Linked DNA regions of Mus musculus: all the other regions are reported to be linked to region 2. The links are microRNA targets in miRTarBase. Many come from high-throughput screens and were not tested one by one. Region 2 holds a microRNA gene; each other region holds the end of a gene's coding sequence.
What was found. The annotated mature microRNA mmu-miR-1839-3p reads AGACCUACUUAUCUACCAACAGC and lies in region 2 at 3,069-3,091, opposite strand. An mRNA with a match to its seed (bases 2 to 7 or 8) in the 3' UTR can be bound and repressed. Matches are read on the target gene's strand: a 7mer-m8 pairs with bases 2 to 8, a 7mer-A1 pairs with bases 2 to 7 and ends in A, and an 8mer does both.

Region 1 (5,462 bases), not on the chromosome of region 2:
AGTGCATTTGACTCAGAGGTACTTCTCCAGCAACGTTGGGATCACAAGGCAGCCAGCTGATGAGCTAACACAATACATCTATGGGTTCTCAGAGCCAGGAATGTGTAAGGTTTTCTGATCCCTGGAGCCATCCTGATTAAAACAGAAGTCCTCTTCTTAGGTAGCTCCTAGTTACAGCACTGAGGGCTCACAGGAAGATGATATAAGAATTGTTTTCAAAGCAAGGCTACTGTACAGTCTTTAGGTTAGCTATCTAAGCTGGTGTGGGTTGTGAATCATTCCAACAGCTGGGATTGCCAGAATCCAGACTGGTTGTGTGAGCTGAGACTTTTCCCCCTGCATCTCTATAAAGCTGCATCAGCTTTCCTTCCCTGTTGTGAGGCAGGGTCTCCAGGTGTCAGAATATTTGTTTTTTACTGTAGCTTTGTCCCAGGCCTCTGAATCTCATAAGATTCTGAAGTCCTTCTTTCAACTGTCCCTCACTGGAAAATTCAACTATACATTGTTGTTTGGGTTTTTTTCTTCACAGGAAGTGACTGCTAGGTGCCTCTAGTTCTCTCCTTGACCTTGGCTTGCTCTTCTTCAGTTGAGTTCTAACAGCTGTCATTTCTGCACTCATCAGTTGGGAATTGGATCCTTTCCTTTAATTTTATTAGTATAAGTAGTAAGTGGTGTTCCTTTGGGCTATGAGTCTGATTGGAAGCCAGAAAACAAACCACACATATTGCACTTCTGGAAGCTTTGTTCTTTAATGAGCCATGGAGTGATTTGTTCAGCAGGCTGCTTTTGTGTAGCTATACAGTGCATACTCTGAGTGACACAAACTGCACTTTATACAAATGTCTTGCCCCCTTCCAAAAAAAAAGGAAATTACAAAGTGCTGCTGATTTCATCAGGAATGTAATCAGTTCTGTGAATAAGTCATTCTTATAGAATTCTTAAACAGTAAAGTGGCATATTTCACAGGTTGTGTCCTTTTATAATACACAGTATTTTAAAACTTTACACTCACCATACTTATAAATTACTTTGAGTCCATTAAAATAATATAATACTAATCTGTAGTCTACACCTTTCCCATAGTAAATACAAATACTTGGTTCAAGAGGTGCAACTCTTATATGACCTAAGAGGGCTGATAAATAGGCATTAAGAGTGGACAGGTGACAAGGTGACAGACCCATTGCTAGGGCTTTTTTGAAGTTTAAACCAGGAGATCAGTAAGATCTAATACACTGGAGATTACCCACTTAACACCAAAAGTGTGAGAATGTTCCAGAGAAATGTGGTCTCTTAGGGATGCAGAAAGTCAGGTCTTCTACAAATACCTAAAAAATTTTACTACTAAGGCCAGCATGGTGTTGGGACACAGTGCTAGGAAGTTATCACAAGTGTGTGGGTGCATATAACACACCATTCAACACAGAAGAATGCAGGGCCCACATCTATTTCCCCACCAAGAATTTTTAAAGTGAGAAAGCCATCTGGACAAACTTCTTTCTCCAGTTATAACTCTCAGCGTCACACACCTGAGAATCCTTCCTTCGCTCTAGCTTATTAGTTACAGTTGAAAACACAGCTCACAGGCACAAAGGTGGAATGATACAGCCTCAATGTATCACCTCATATGAGCACATTTCCGTGACACTGTCTTTGATTGAGACACAGAACAGTCTTCATACCCTATGCAAGGTGAGAGTGATAGGTTTCCAAAGCCTGAGAGCTGGCCCTAGTGACCTGTGCCCTGAACTCACATCCTTTTGTCTCTCCTAGCAATACTCATATCTCCGTTTGTGTGTATGACCTAGAATGGTCATATAATCAAAATGGCAGGAAGTACAAATATGTGCAAACTAAGTGTGTCACCTCCCTGAATCCTGCCTGCATTTGCTGTAATTTGCTTCAGTCTGTGATGCAAAATGTATTGTTTGCTTCTGCTACATTTTCTATGACACACAGCTACAGACACATATTAATGAGTAGGGAAAAATGTAGGAGTTATTGTGGACTAGAAGTATGTGACATAACTAGGATGCTCTGAAGTTTGGAGCACAGGTTCCACATGTGAGACACTCTGCTGCTGCCAGAGAGTTTCTTTTGGTGCATTTTAAGACTGAAGAAAAGCAGCTAGACAGACATAACAGTGAACTCTATGTGGATCTGTATCATGGGTGAGGATTCAGAGGCTCTGTTAAGAACTGATGGAGCCAGACATCTGACACTACTGAGTTATGGCTTCGTCTCTATCAGATCAATAGTGCCTGCTAACCCAAGAACAACAGCACTCTTTTCCTTACAGGGACCTACACTTTGCCGAGACATTCTTATAGTTGTGTGGATTTCCCCCACCCATCCTGGCGGCTTGTTAAATGATTAAAAAATCCACAAATCTAGCAAATGAAAAAAAAAGTTTTTATTTAACTTTATTCAAATTCAGGTTTTAGGTCCCTGAGAAAAATTATAAAGTCTTTAATATTGATTACCTAGTTCCTACAAGGTGACCTATGTAGGTAGGTTGGTTTTTTTTTTTTCTCAGCCCCAAATTTACTTTATAGAAATAATAAAAACAAAAAACTGAGCTGTAAAACTTTAGGAGGGAGAATGTGTGTCAAGTGCTGAGTTCCAGGACATTCCTCTGAAACAAAGGAAATTGTTCTGAGCCAAGTGGAGAGCAACAGTTAGCAACAGTTACCACCCAGTAGCAGCTACTTTCCCCAAATACTATAACAGACTGTATAGCCAGAAAGGCCCAAAACAGCACCCCACCATATCACAGCCATGCTGGCTTCCTGTAGAACAGTTTCCAAAACTCTTATTGTTAATGCTGGAGGGATATAAAAGTTAGCATTTACTGAATGACCATCATCATCGGGGAGATTTTCAAAACTTCCTTCATGTGTCTCAATGCTGAACCCATACCATGGAGAGGGAAGACTCCAGCCACCATGAGCTGCTGTGCAAAATAATGCTACAAGTCTCATCTCTAGAGCCGGCCAATGACCACTATTGCAGTGGCGTGAGGTTCAGTGTTGTGTAGGAGGAGAGACCTTGCCTTAACAAAAGACTTCTATTCCTGTAACTTCAAACCAAAAAAGGAGAAGGAGGAGAAGGAAAAGAAGAGGAGGAGGAGAAAACCAAAATTCAGGTTATGGATATTAAAGGCTCTTCTTGTAACAGTGCATGTGGTAGTTAGACAAAATGTATTTAGTGACTTTAAAAATAAACATTTCATATACTTAAGAAATGGTATCATGTTTCACTTCACATAACATAAATAGCAAAAACAGAGTTCTAGTCCCACAATTGCTAGTACATGATGCTTCTGACATTATAACTTATGGAAACTACCAGTGATGAAAAAGATGCCCTTACTTATTCCTCACCCCGGGGGTGAATGGCTCTCACCACCTGTCTAATGGCCTCTTATCTGTAGGGAGAAACTCAATGGGAATAAGGGGAAAGCACAAGGTTAAAAAGAACTAGGCATATTATACATGTGTATTTACAGTAAACTTCAGGAACAAGAATATTAACAAAAATAGCTTCAAGTAGTCCTTGATTTTTTTCATCTAATACTGATGGTCTGATAAGAAGACAAAAATTAAATAGATCATATTTAAACTTTCTAGACTTCTTTTGGCGGCTTTTTCTATAACACTCATGCACAGTTGTATGTATGTGAGTACTCCTAGATAAGTGATGAAATGGTTACATCTATGGTGGTACTCCACCAGCAGATGAGTAGGCTCGGATACAGTCTTCAGTTTATACAAAAAGAAAAGCTTGGATCAATCAGGATGATGCGTTCACATTTAGGAATTACCTAAATGTGCCTGTGACATATTTCAAACAAAAACCTAGAGGAGTCTGATCTATAATCAGGGCATACCAATACAGTATGGCTACCAGAACTTTACCCCATGAAATATATTTGGCAGGAATTAACCAAGCGTTAAACCAGCACTGACTATAATACCAAATATCAACAAGAGACAAAGCATGGTCTCTTCACATTCCTGTAGCTGAGACACTCTGGGCTTAATGGAAATCAGTTTAGGTTTCCAAAAGATAACATTGAATGTTTTGTAATTAAATTTAAAATAGAGGGCTTATAAATCCTTGGGGAAATTTTTATATTCTAACACAGTTCCTAACTATTCCAATACAAACTCAAAAGCTTTTGTTTCCATGGTTAACAGAGGTTTGTATGTTTTCTTTAAATGCTAGAAATGAGAGCATACCTCAGGATCACAATAGCTCCCTAGTTCAGCAACTATCTGTGGGAAGGGAAAAGTAGGTGGGCAAGAAGCAACTATTATTGGCCAAAATCCCCCAGGTCCCAGGTGGCTTTGTTCAGTGGACTCTCAAATCAAATACAGCAGCCAAGGCACAGCTGGCCCATCCCTAGCAAACTTCAAAGCGGCCACTTTTGCCAGAAGCCCAGTGATCCAGCATACAATCTGTCTGCTGAAACGAGGCAGGACCATTAGGACCGACTGTTACAAACAAGGTGACCAGAAGAGGCCCCAAAGATGAGATCTGGGGACACATCTGTCCATTTAGACCATAAACTCATTATTTCCAAACAGTGGTAGTTGCTGTGTGGAGCTGCAGTCTGAGTCCACAGTTTTCTTTCGGCCAGATGTGACTGTCCCCTCTGGGGTCTCTTTGGTTTTCTGAGGTGAGTTTTTCACATTCTTTAGTTTTTGTTTGCCCTTTTCAGGGTTGAAGGTTCCTCTGCTGATGAACTGAGGCCTGTCTTCTAGGGATTTGGCTTGGCCTAGCGGTCCTTCCGTTCCCTGGGCCTCACAAGCTGAAGCAGCTCGGTAAAATGGAGACTTGGAATAAATCTGAAATCGCTTTCTAGTGCCATGAGATGATGTAGTGTTTGATAGACATGAAGAAACGGAGGAGCTGACGGAGTCTAGAGAGTCTGGCTGCTTTCTTAGCTGCTTCCGCGACTTGCTTGAAGGTTCAGACTTGCCAGCTGCTTTCAGGGAGCTAAGGGCTAAACTTCTCTCTAAAAACAGAAAATAAAGTTGTACATAATAGTGTCTACCTATGCAACATCATGTAATGAAGCTACTGTTCACATGTGAAACTGAATGGGTAAAAAGTTCTGAGGATTTAGTCAATCTCTTTTGTGCAGAATCATTATTGTAAAAGCTGTCTTGGAGCTGGCCTCAAACTTACAGCGATCTGTCTCCTGAATCTGGGATTAAAAGTATGCACCACCAACCAGACTGAACCTGAGAAAGTTTTTTTTAACATTAAAAAAAAAAATTGCCGGGCATGGTGGCGCACGCCTTTAATCCCAGCACTCGGGAGGCAGAGGCAGGCGGATTTCTGAGTTCGAGGCCAGCCTGGTCTACAAAGTGAGTTCCAGGACAGCCAGGAAACCCTGTCTTGAAAAACAAAAACAAAAAAAAAAAAAAAAATATATATATATATATATATATATA
Region 2 (5,462 bases):
GATGTGATCTCTTTTTTTATTTTGATCTTATGGGTGATACAGTTAAGAGATTACCATGTATCGCAGAAGAAACTTTGGACTTGAAAACAGTGTTAGTGTTGTGACAGCAATAGAAGAGTGACTAAGACAACCATCTATCTAGCCCAGTGTTTCCTAACAAAAGCTGGCAGCAGCACGGCAAAATGCACACTGTTGAAACACGCTGTCTTCTGCTTCATGGTGGTTCTAACTCCACTCTAACTCTGAAATTACGTCCAAGATGCCTAAAGGCAGAGACTGTGTGCCTTGTTTATAACTTGACTTTGGGGGCTAACATGCCGTCAGCTGCATGCCAATACATGCTGCCTAAAGAAGCACCTTCTTCACGCTCCACTGCTCTTGGCTTCATGTTGCTCTTGGTGGGAAAGATGGCAGGGAGGAGAAAAATCTTAAGGGAGGCAGTGTGAAGAACAGAAGCTACCTGTGGCTCACTGGAGAGTTACTGCCATGCCCACACACACAATCTACTTGTGATTGGGGTGAATGGAGTCCCGAGGAAGGGGCTCAGATAGATGGAGATAAGAGAAAGAGCATTAGCTAGGATTCATCAAGGAACCATCAAGAAGTGAAAAAGCAGTGGATTTGAAGCCAAGGACTGGGTCCAACTGCTATTTTGTATCTACTTGCCTAAAACCTACAGACCAGTGCTCCCCATCAAACAAAGGAAAGACTGTATTTGTCTCATAAGGATGTGATGCTTCATCTAAACCTAAGTGCCAAGTAATGAGTGACATACTGTATATTTATGATGTTTCAAGGCAATCATCAGCTCACCGAAGTCAAAGCTGGGCCCTAGGGAGAGGAACGCACTGTAGCCAGCAGCTCTTGGGTGCCCTGCCTCACTGTCTTCAGCTAAGGACCATGGTGCCTGTCTCCACCAGCTCCATTGCTGGCTCCCCTGTTCACATTTCCAATCCCCAACTCAAGTCACTGTCAAAGCTTAGCACTCCAGCTGCAGAGTAATAACTTCACTTGAGAAAAACCAGGACACTGTTGAGTACCAAGTCCCCTGATGCCGCCAACGCAGGTGTGTCCTACTCACTGCCCAGGGAGACACTCTTCTCTTTAGAATTTTGTTTTCTAGCCCACCCTAATTCTGATGCAGTAACAACTCTCGTCTCCTTCTGGACTCTACTAGTGCAAGCAGCAGCTCAGATTCCTGATTTATCACTTGCCCACAGAGCTTGTCTGTCTGTCTGTGTCTCTCTGTCTCTCTTTCTCACACACACACACACACACACACACACACACACACACACACACACACACACAACTTCTTCTTACCCTGACATAAGGCACTGCAGATGTAAACACAAGCTGGCTGAAGCTGTTAATGAAATATGCATGTGTATTTAGTGAAAGAAGTTCTCTACTACTGAAATAGAAACCACCAAATGGGAAACGTGGATCACAGGCATGGGCAGTTTGAGTTGTCTACTGGGATTCCTGCACTGCTTTGCACATAACACAAATATGGGGACATGACTAAAACATAATACCCAAAAAATTTTGATAGTTTTTTTTTTATTTAACAAGATATCTTTGACATTTAAAATTTACTGGAGTAAGGGATAACCAACTTCAAGCATCACAGTTACTAACCATAAAGAACTTTGTTTAAGCATGTTATCTTTAGGAAGAAAAATAAATCTTAAAAAAAAAAAATGAGGGGGGAAACCCTGCTGGGTCTGTGATATATTCCAAGTCCTTATAATCCCATGTAGAAGCTGATGAAACTCAATTTCAAACAGGGGCAAGGTTTACCTCATGGCCATGTGCAGCTGCAACCTCTGATAAATCTGTTAAAACACAAAACAGATAAACATTTAAAAACATTTTTTTATATGTGAGTATCTGTATGTTTGTTTGAGATAGGGTCTCACTATGTAGCCCTGGGGGGCCTATAACTCGGCCAGGCTAGCCTTGAACTCCACGCTCAACATAGAAAAGTATCTTTAACACTGAGACCACTGTCACACGACCCTGATACTAAGCAGATAAACCAAACTCCATCAACATCCGCTCTTCTCCCGCTTTACCTGCCCCACCGCGTTAACTCTTGACTGAGTGAGCGCACGGGTGTTGGCTCCACACCCTAGCAAAGGGGAGAGAGTCTGTAAAGCCTTCACAGGACGTGGGTGGAAACTGCAAGCATTTAAAAGCCACACTACCCAGAACATAACAAGTAGCAGAGAGAAGGAACAAGTAGTTAGGAACATGGGCTATAAAACAGCATTGGCTTCTGGTAAACTAAATAGCTTTCATTCACAGAATTACTTTTTTTGTTTTGGACTTTGTTGGTGGTGGTGGCTATTTGGTTTGGGTTTTTTGAGACAGTGTCTCACCAGGTAGCCCAAGATGACCTTACACTTGTGGCAAGCCTCCTGCTTCAGCTTCTCAAATGCTGAGATTACATGCATGAGCCACTATAAATGGCAAAAAATTGGTATGTTTAATGGCTGGCTCCTGGGGCTGGTAAGGGTACTTGTTACCAAACCTGAGGACCTGAGTTCAATCCCCAAATCCGACACCATGGAAGGAGAGTTGTCTTTGAACTTCATGTGTGCCACGGCACATAAGCCCCCTCTTCACTCTTCATCACACACACACACACACATACACACACACACACATATCAGCTCCCTGCCTTTTCAAATGATGGTAATCACTTGTGCACATGAAATAAAATATTTCTGAAGCGTGTACTTGCCCTTTAGTACAAACAGAACCAGTTTATGGGCAGCTGGGCGTCTCAGCGTCTCACCCTCACATCTGGTACAACTACTGCCCTACGTGACCCACCTACAATTCATTGTGATGCAGAATTGTGTAAGTGACAATACACTTTTTGGATTCCTCAAACCTGCATTATAGGAAACAAGTTCTCAACTTTCTAACCCGCCTGTCTGACCTCCAAGCACCTTTCTATCACTAGTAGAGACTGTGTCCACTCTGGCTTTCCCAGCCTTCCTCATCTAGGAGTTCACTGCACCCACTTCTTGTAGGAAGACTGTGGGACGTAGGCAATGGCTGTTGGTAGATAAGTAGGTCTTGAATTTATTTTGCAAACAAGACCTGTTCTATCTACCTTTTCATGTAGGAGGCTAAAGGCAGAGTCAGCTTGACTTCAAGGACTCTATTGTCTTAGTCTCCAGAAGAATATGACTAAATCCACCTATTGTTTTAACTGAGCATGCCTGGAATCCCAGAACTTAGAAGGTAGAGTCAGGAAGATCAAGGGTTCAAGGTAATCCTATGCTCAATAGCAAGTCTAAAGCCAGCCTGTGCTGCATGAGACCCTGTCTGAAGAAACTAAACTAGAAGTTAGGCATGCTGGCTCAACCCTGTAATCTTGGCACTTAGCAGGCTGAAGCAGGAGGACTGCCAAGTCTAAGTCAGGACAACAAAATGAGACCCCAGTCTTAAACCCTTGTGTTACAGACAAGATCTTTAAGAGCCATGAACGCTGAAGACATGCTTACCTTACTGTCAATGGTTAACAGAGCTAAACGCAAGGCAACAGTTTGCCTGTCGGTATCTGCCATCAGCAAGGAGAGTACCCATGACATGGCACCATTGCCACCAAAAGAACCGCTGCTGCCTGGGTCCTGTCAGTTCACTGTGTGCCACCACATCACTGTTGGTTTTCTGCTGACACCAATCCTGGAATAAATGAGGTTAGACTCACCGTTTGACTTTCCTTCCTTTTCTCAAGCTCTAACAGAATATGGTTTCTCGTGTTCTCACTTACTCAAATTTGGCAGAACTAACCCATCATTTTTTTATAAATTATTTTTCCATAAGCCGCCAGCATTTTGCCTCTGCCATTTCCTTGCACATGGCAAACATTAATCTAAGGGGAGAGAAGCAGCAAGAGCGAAACAGGAAGTGAAAACAAGGCCGGCACACTGGGAAAAGTGTAAGACTCCGTACTGTCTTATTACCATGTACACTGTATAAGCCATCAACTAGGAGATCCCTAACACCTACAGCGCAGCTCCTCCTGTCCTCCTGATGGCTCTAAATCACCTCTGAGACGCACTGGCTGACTCCCACCTCTCACACTCACCGTTTACAGAACACTCAAGTGTTGATATTGCGACCACTGGCTTGTGTCTTCTCCACTTGAATTACACACATCTAAGGCATGGGTGTGGCTGCATATTCTCTGCATGACCCAAGGCAACAACTGCCCTGGGCTTTCAGGTAATACATATATATACCTGAAGAGAGAAATGAGACATCAACTTATCCCACAAATCAAAGGAAAGCTTTTCCATTAGAAATCAAAGCAGCCGTCCAGTGTATGCTCTTGGGGCTGTGGGATGAGGCTAAGTTGTCTTCTGTCCTAATACCTAGGGGTCTGACACAGTCCCTCAGTAATTGTAGTTACTTCTGATCTGTGCAGAGAATGAGTGTGGAAGGACCAAGGCTGGTGCTGGATGTCATTAGTACAAGAGAGCTCTGACACTCACATTTAATACTTGCTGTAGCATTGACTATTCCTAAGATAACCCGAAGGTCTATCATATGTTATTTTACAAGCTCTGAATCATAAATTTGGTTCATAATTCTTGGTCCAGATAAATGTATAAATATTCCTCTAACCCACTAAGTTTAACCACCTACCTGACATTTTAAGCATGTCTTAGTTTGGTTTTTATTGCTGTGAAAGACACTATGACCAAGGCAACTTTTACTTGGACAACATTTACTTGGGGCTGGCTTACAGTTTCAGAGGTTTAGTTCATTATGATCAAGGCCGGAAGCATGGCAGTGTGCAGACAGACGCCAAAAGTTCTACATCTTGATCCACAGGCAGCAGAAGGAGACTGTATGTCACACTGGGTGTAACTTGAGCATAGGAGACATCATAGCCTGTCCTCACAGTGACACAATTCATCCAACAAGGCCATACCAACTCTAACTAGGCCACACCTCCAAAAAGTGCCACTCCCTATAGGTAAGCATTCAAACACTTATACCTATTCAAACTATCTCAAGGTACAACGTAAGACATATTGGCTATTTTTAGTTTACTGTAGAGGGCACAGAGCCCTGGTGCTCACATATAAGCACCAGGGAAACCAGGAATGTTAAACACGCGGAGCTGTCTCTTCAGAGGAAAAGATGTCTAACCTATTCTCTGCCCAGAAGGCTGAGAATGGATGTTGTTAAAAGCCCGGTGACCTCTGTGCTATTTGTAGGGCCAGGCCACACCTGTCTCCATCCCTTAAAAACAGAACTGGAGATGGTTAATAGTGTAGTGACCTTTGCACTATCTGTATGACTGAGACCACATCCAGAGCCTGGAGATCTTCTCCAAGACCCTGAAGATAATGCATGTAGTCTATACAGACTCCATGATGGATTCTATACCTACCATGAAGAAGTGACACATACTTTGAAAAGAGTTTCAAGGT
Region 3 (5,462 bases), not on the chromosome of region 2:
TGCTGAAGACAGTCTGTCAGTCACTGTGACAAAGTTCCTGTGGTGTCTGCCCTGCTTCTCTGTCTTAGCATCCAGACTTCACAACCCAGGACTCCTTCCTCAGCCCAAGTGAAGCTTTACAGAAAGTAACAACAGTCCTGACTTGCTGCAAGCTGAAGGACATGGACATGTTCTCTGTTACTAATAACGAACAATAAAGGACATCAATTCACAGACTTCAACATACATATTCAGACACATAAAGAAAAAAAAATACTCAGCTGCCACTAATAAAATGAGTTTACTTTATTGTAAAAGTTTCCCAAAACACACATGCAGAGCCACCCACATTTGGGGCTTGAGATTTAACAGAGATTTTATAAAATTATTTCCACTTAAAGTATTAAAGTACACAGAGTTAAAAAATATATATTAGAAGGAAAAAAATGTTAAGTCAAGGTTAATCGGCAGAATTCCCACTAAAAGACTAACTTGAGAAGTACTTAGGAAAAAAAGATACTTTCTTTTCAGAAAAAATTTAATCTTAGGGTATGTTTCTTAAGAAATAGTACAAACCACAAAACAATGACCCTCTCAAATTTTACCTGTTTCACAAATAAGTCAACCTAAAAGGGAGAGGTCAGAGGACACGCTTTGGAACTTGTGTTCAGATTTCTGTATTTAGATCTTCATTCGTTGTCTCCCCCGCCCCTCCAATGGCAGACAATATTCCAATGAAAAAACCCTACAGTTAATATAAGACAGTATTATAGTAATACCATTAAGGTTCAGGCATTTCTCCAAATGTACAAAAGAGAAAGAAGACGATGTAGCCAAGGGCTGACGTCATTTTAGAGTAGTTACATGTTTTATAATACTGTGGAAGTCTTTGGTGGTGACACATGGAATAAGATCCCTGAAAACACATGAGGAGTTAGTTCTGTCCCAGACCTCTATGTGCTAAAGTGTTTATTGCTAGAAACGATAGCAAGATCTCATTTTTTTAGCCCTAGAAAACACACACAGTGTGTGTGGAGGGGACCTATGAGGAACTGAGGTGGCCGTAGACAATTGTTTATGTAGTAATCAGCTTATTTCTGGTTCCTTTTTGTTTTTCACAGGATTTTTTTTTTTTAATTTCAAATGATGTGTGTATGTGTATCCGTGAGAAAGAATGTTCACATGCACGTAGGTGCCCTTGGAAATCAGAGGAAGGTATTGTACCCCCAGGAGCTGGCACTGCAGGCTGCAGTGAACTAAACACCTGGCTTAGGCACTAAGAACTGAATCCAGGTCCTCTGTAAGAGCAGTATGCATTCTTAAAACAGAGCCATCTCTCCAGCTATGGCTCTTCTTAATACCAGAAAGGAAAAAGAAAGACACAGTATAGACATATCAATTTTTATACTTAAACAACAGCTAAGTACGGGGAATGTTAGTGATCATGCTGAACGACTGGATACTAAGATGAAATGCTAGTAGGCTATAATTTTTGGATACATGTCAAAAGGCAGAGAGAAACAGTGCCTTAAACCGGTTTGTGCATTCGCGTGCTGGTGCTCCAGTTGGCAGTGTGGGTTAAGTCAAGGCACTGTGGTCTATGAATAAATTTACATCTCTTGAAAAAATCAGCATGCTCAAAAGCAGAAACAAACAAGGTGACCCGGTCCTCTTTAAGAGAAACAGAACAAAACAGCGCTTTAGCTCAGCATACAGAGTTCAAAGAAAAGGGCATGCTATGACATGAGACCTTGGGGACAGAAACAAAGCGGGGTAGGACAGTCATCAAGCGCATATGAGCATGTCTACAGCAGGGACAAGCCCGAGCAGGGACCAGGACCGGGAGGGTGAACGGCAGTGAGCAGGTCAGCCAACTTTAGCTCCGAGTCAGGCGGTATCTTTGCTTGAGAATTTTGATTCTAGAACGTGATATTTCTCCCAATTTAAAACGCCTGTGAAGTAGGGTATGGAGCCACACACCTGTAATCTCAGCACTTAGAAGGCGGAGGCATAATGTTGTTGACTCTAGCTGCATATGTATCAAAAGATGGCCTAGTCGGCCATCACTGGAAAGAGAGGCCCATTGGACACGCAAACTTTATATGCCCCAATACAGGGGAATGCCAGAGCCAAAAAATGGGAATGGGTGGGTAGGGAAGTGGGGGGGGGGGAGGGTATGGGGGACCTTTGGGATAGCATTCCAAATGTAATTGAGGAAAATACATAATAATAAAAAATATTTAAAAAAAAAAGGCGGCGGAGGCATCCAGAGTGACCATATACTGGAAGTAAGCCTGGGCTACACAGTGCATTTCAGGCTGGCTAGAGTGAGGCTTAGTCTCAAAACAACTTGGGCATGGTGGGACACACCTCTAATGGCAGCATCTGGGAGGCAGCGGCAGGTGGAGCTTTGTGAGTTTGAGGCCAGCCTGACCTACAGAGTGAATTCCAGGACAGCCAGGGCTACACAGAGAGACTCTGTCTCACAAAACAAAACACCCTCCACCCAAACAAACAAAAGTCAAAAGAAGAAACAAATAGTATACAAACTCATTAAATAATAATAAGTTTGTTTTAACTATCTTTTTTTTTTTTTTTTTTGGTTTTGGGATTGAACTCAAGGCCTTGTGTACCTCAAGCATGGTGTCTATCCTTAGCTCCTAAGGGTAAGTTTAATACTGATACTGGACTTGAATATGATACAATCTTGCCAATTTGTCCCCATGGAGACAAAGTAACTTACTGTACTTATCACATCACCTTATCAGGTAACACGGCCTCTGCAGGGAAAACCACCCATGCCGCACAGCATTGGTTCAGAGCAGGTCTGGTTCATGAGAAATGAATACATCCTGTCCAATAATTTATTGTGGGACTTTATAGATGTTTGAATAGAAATTAAAGAATCCTTTTCGAAAGGAAGAGGCTATTAGTCAAAGCAAAGTAGATGGAGATACAAGATTAAATTGGGGAGGAAAAAGATTGAATTTTTATTTCGTGTTAAAAATATTAACAATGTGATTCTGTGTAGAAAATATTCGTAGTATCAAGAGGTCATTGTGTGTGTGGGCCATTCAGGCACCCCCATGTAAGCATTGTTTGATATTGAAAATTTGATTATTCATCACCCCAATATGATTTAGTGTCCACAATGTCCAGTTAGTAGGGCAACCTAAAAGGAGCTGAGTTCAATCCCTCTAAATCTGTTAGATTAAAAAGAAGGCCTTTAGCCTGGTCTCCAGAGTGAGTTCCAGGAGAGCCAGGGCTATACAGAGAAACCCTGTCTCGAAAAAAAAAAACCCAAAAATAAAATAAAATAAAATAAAATAAAAGATGGCATTTTTCTGGAAGCCTGTTACGTAGCATCAATGGTGTTTGTGTTTTACCCTGACACTCATTTTCAGAGAATAATCTCAGGCAGAAAAAGATCTAAAAGATGTTAGTCATTGCTGGGTCTGTAAGGCAGCATAGGCCTCTGCCGAGCTCAGGAGCTGAGTGTGGGCATTGGGAAGTCCATGAGTTAGAAAACACTAAGTGCTACATTGGTCTGTGACGCTTCCACAAAATCAATCTATCTATCTATCTATCTATCTATCTATCTATCTATCTATCTATCTATCTAATATCTATCTATCTATCTATCTATCTATCTATCTATCTATCTATCTATCTATCTCTATCTAATGTGCATTGGTGTTTTGCCTGTACGCATATCTGTGTGAGGGTGTCAAATCACTTGGAGCTGGATTGCAGACAGTTGTGAGCTGCCACGTGGGTGATGGGATTTGAACTCAGGACCTCTGGAAGAGCAGCCAGTGCTCTTTACCTCTGAGCCACCTCTCCAGCCCCCAAAAGCTTTTTTTTTTTTAACCTAGAATAACCTAGAATAATTTGCTGTTGAGAAAAACCACATCAAATTCAATGATGGAAACTGGTTAATGTTTAAGATAACTTCTCAGATGTCCGGAATATAACTGAAGGGCATTTAAAATGAGCCAAGTGTGATAACGTCTGTTATCCCAGCAATGGCGAAGTGGAAGCAGGACGAGGATCAGGGAAGAGACCCTACCTCAATAAAACAAAACAAAAGACTACAAACTTAACAGTTATGTGTCTATAATGGGCTGAATGGATTTACCAAACGAAACAAACCCATAGGAAAAGGAGATGACGCGGTTTCAAGGCATGATCTTGACATGTCGGAATATGACAGACAACAAAACAGACAGCATCAGGAAAATGTAAATGTACAGTTGTAAAATAAGTAAACAATTTTCAAGTGTGCAAAACTAGCCAGGAAAGTGCTATGTGGACACCTGGTTTTCAAATCATTTGTTTAAAAAACTTTCAGCGTCTAAGGCTTAAGGAAGGACACAGCCCCCTCCTATGGCAATGACACTGGCTCCTCAGGGGCTGTCACCACTCTCCTGTGATAGATGCAGGCAAGATGATGTAAACAGAATGCAACACCAGAACGGCAGGCAGGTGTGTCCTGGAGCAGAGACTTTTGAAGTCTGCCCTGGGTCTAGCTAGGCTTTATCCTTAGGCCCTAGGCACTCAGTGTTGCTGCTGACATCAGGGACGCGATTCTCGGTCACTTTTGTTATCTACACGTACATTTACAAACCTTACATAACTAAGTTTAGCAGTTAAACATCTAAAAGTAATTGTTAAAGAAACACAGACCATTTAAAGTCATTGCGTAAATCCCATCCCTGCCACACTCTGAAGATTTAAAGTGTTAAGCCCTGAATACATCAGGTTAGAAAATGAAGTTGATCTGTTAGCGGTTTATTCATCTTGGGAAGGGCAAGGTGTAGACACTAAAAATACACTTGCGGTCTCTTCTTCACTTTATATTTTAGTGAGCCATACCGCACCTGAAGAAAGAAAAGTGTTAGGGTTAACAATAGGAAAGCCAAAATGACTATGGAAAAGCCGTTAAGGATTTGTTACTCTGTATACTGGCTAAACCAAACTAAAACAAACAAAACTAAAGGGACTGACTACTTTTTAAAATTAGGAAAGTTTTAATATTTTGTCGCCATAGTAACGGTTTTACTCATCTGGCATAAAGAATCAGCTTCTTTGTCAGCTGCTTGGGAGACCCAAGCCTGATGACTGTAAGTTCAGGATCTACCTGGGCCTGGGCCACAGAATGACAACTTACTGAGTTCTTACCTCAAAATAAAATGTGCTGCTAATGTAGCTCGGAAGTGTCGTTCTTGCATAGCCTGCATGGGGTCCTTGTTCAATTCCTAATACAGCACCCAAGTCAATTATTCAACCAACCAATTAATCAATCAAAAATCAACCAACCAACCAACCAACCAACCAACCAGTCAACCAGCCATCAAAGCAACCAACCAATCAACCAACCAACCAACCAGTCAACCAGCCATCAAAGCAACTCCCTGGCAAGCAACCTCCTTATTAAGAACTCCCACAGACATGTAGCTTGTGATGTGATGGGTGTGTGTAGC

Region 1: the mRNA of Myo9a is a reported target of mmu-miR-1839-3p. Seed matches in the 3' UTR shown: 7mer-A1 at 2,499-2,505, 7mer-m8 at 2,301-2,307, 7mer-A1 at 1,801-1,807 and 7mer-A1 at 1,123-1,129.
Region 3: miRTarBase lists Reep3 as a target of mmu-miR-1839-3p. Seed matches in the 3' UTR shown: 8mer at 2,410-2,417.

What each region holds. Positions count from the first base shown.
Region 1 is chr9:59,924,129-59,929,590 of GRCm38, reverse strand. Myo9a (myosin IXa) reads right to left here. Exons shown (of 44, transcript NM_173018.2): 44 at 725-5,020. The coding sequence ends at 4,560. The region is part of intron 2 of Gm20275 (predicted gene, 20275); the gene reads left to right. Among named protein-coding and RNA genes, the nearest start is that of Gm20275, 14 kb to the left of the region's middle.
Region 2 is chr7:81,527,587-81,533,048 of GRCm38, reverse strand. Mir1839 (microRNA 1839) reads right to left here and starts at 3,133; the gene lies at 3,061-3,133. It overlaps 2900076A07Rik (RIKEN cDNA 2900076A07 gene), which reads right to left. Exons shown (of 4, transcript NR_160675.1): 2 at 4,109-4,262; 3 at 3,522-3,702; 4 at 1,551-1,838.
Region 3 is chr10:67,008,928-67,014,389 of GRCm38, forward strand. It overlaps Reep3 (receptor accessory protein 3), which reads right to left. Exons shown (of 8, transcript NM_178606.5): 8 at 262-4,859. The coding sequence ends at 4,803. All of the region lies in intron 1 of Gm31763 (predicted gene, 31763), which reads left to right. Among named protein-coding and RNA genes, the nearest start is that of Gm31763, 6.6 kb to the left of the region's middle.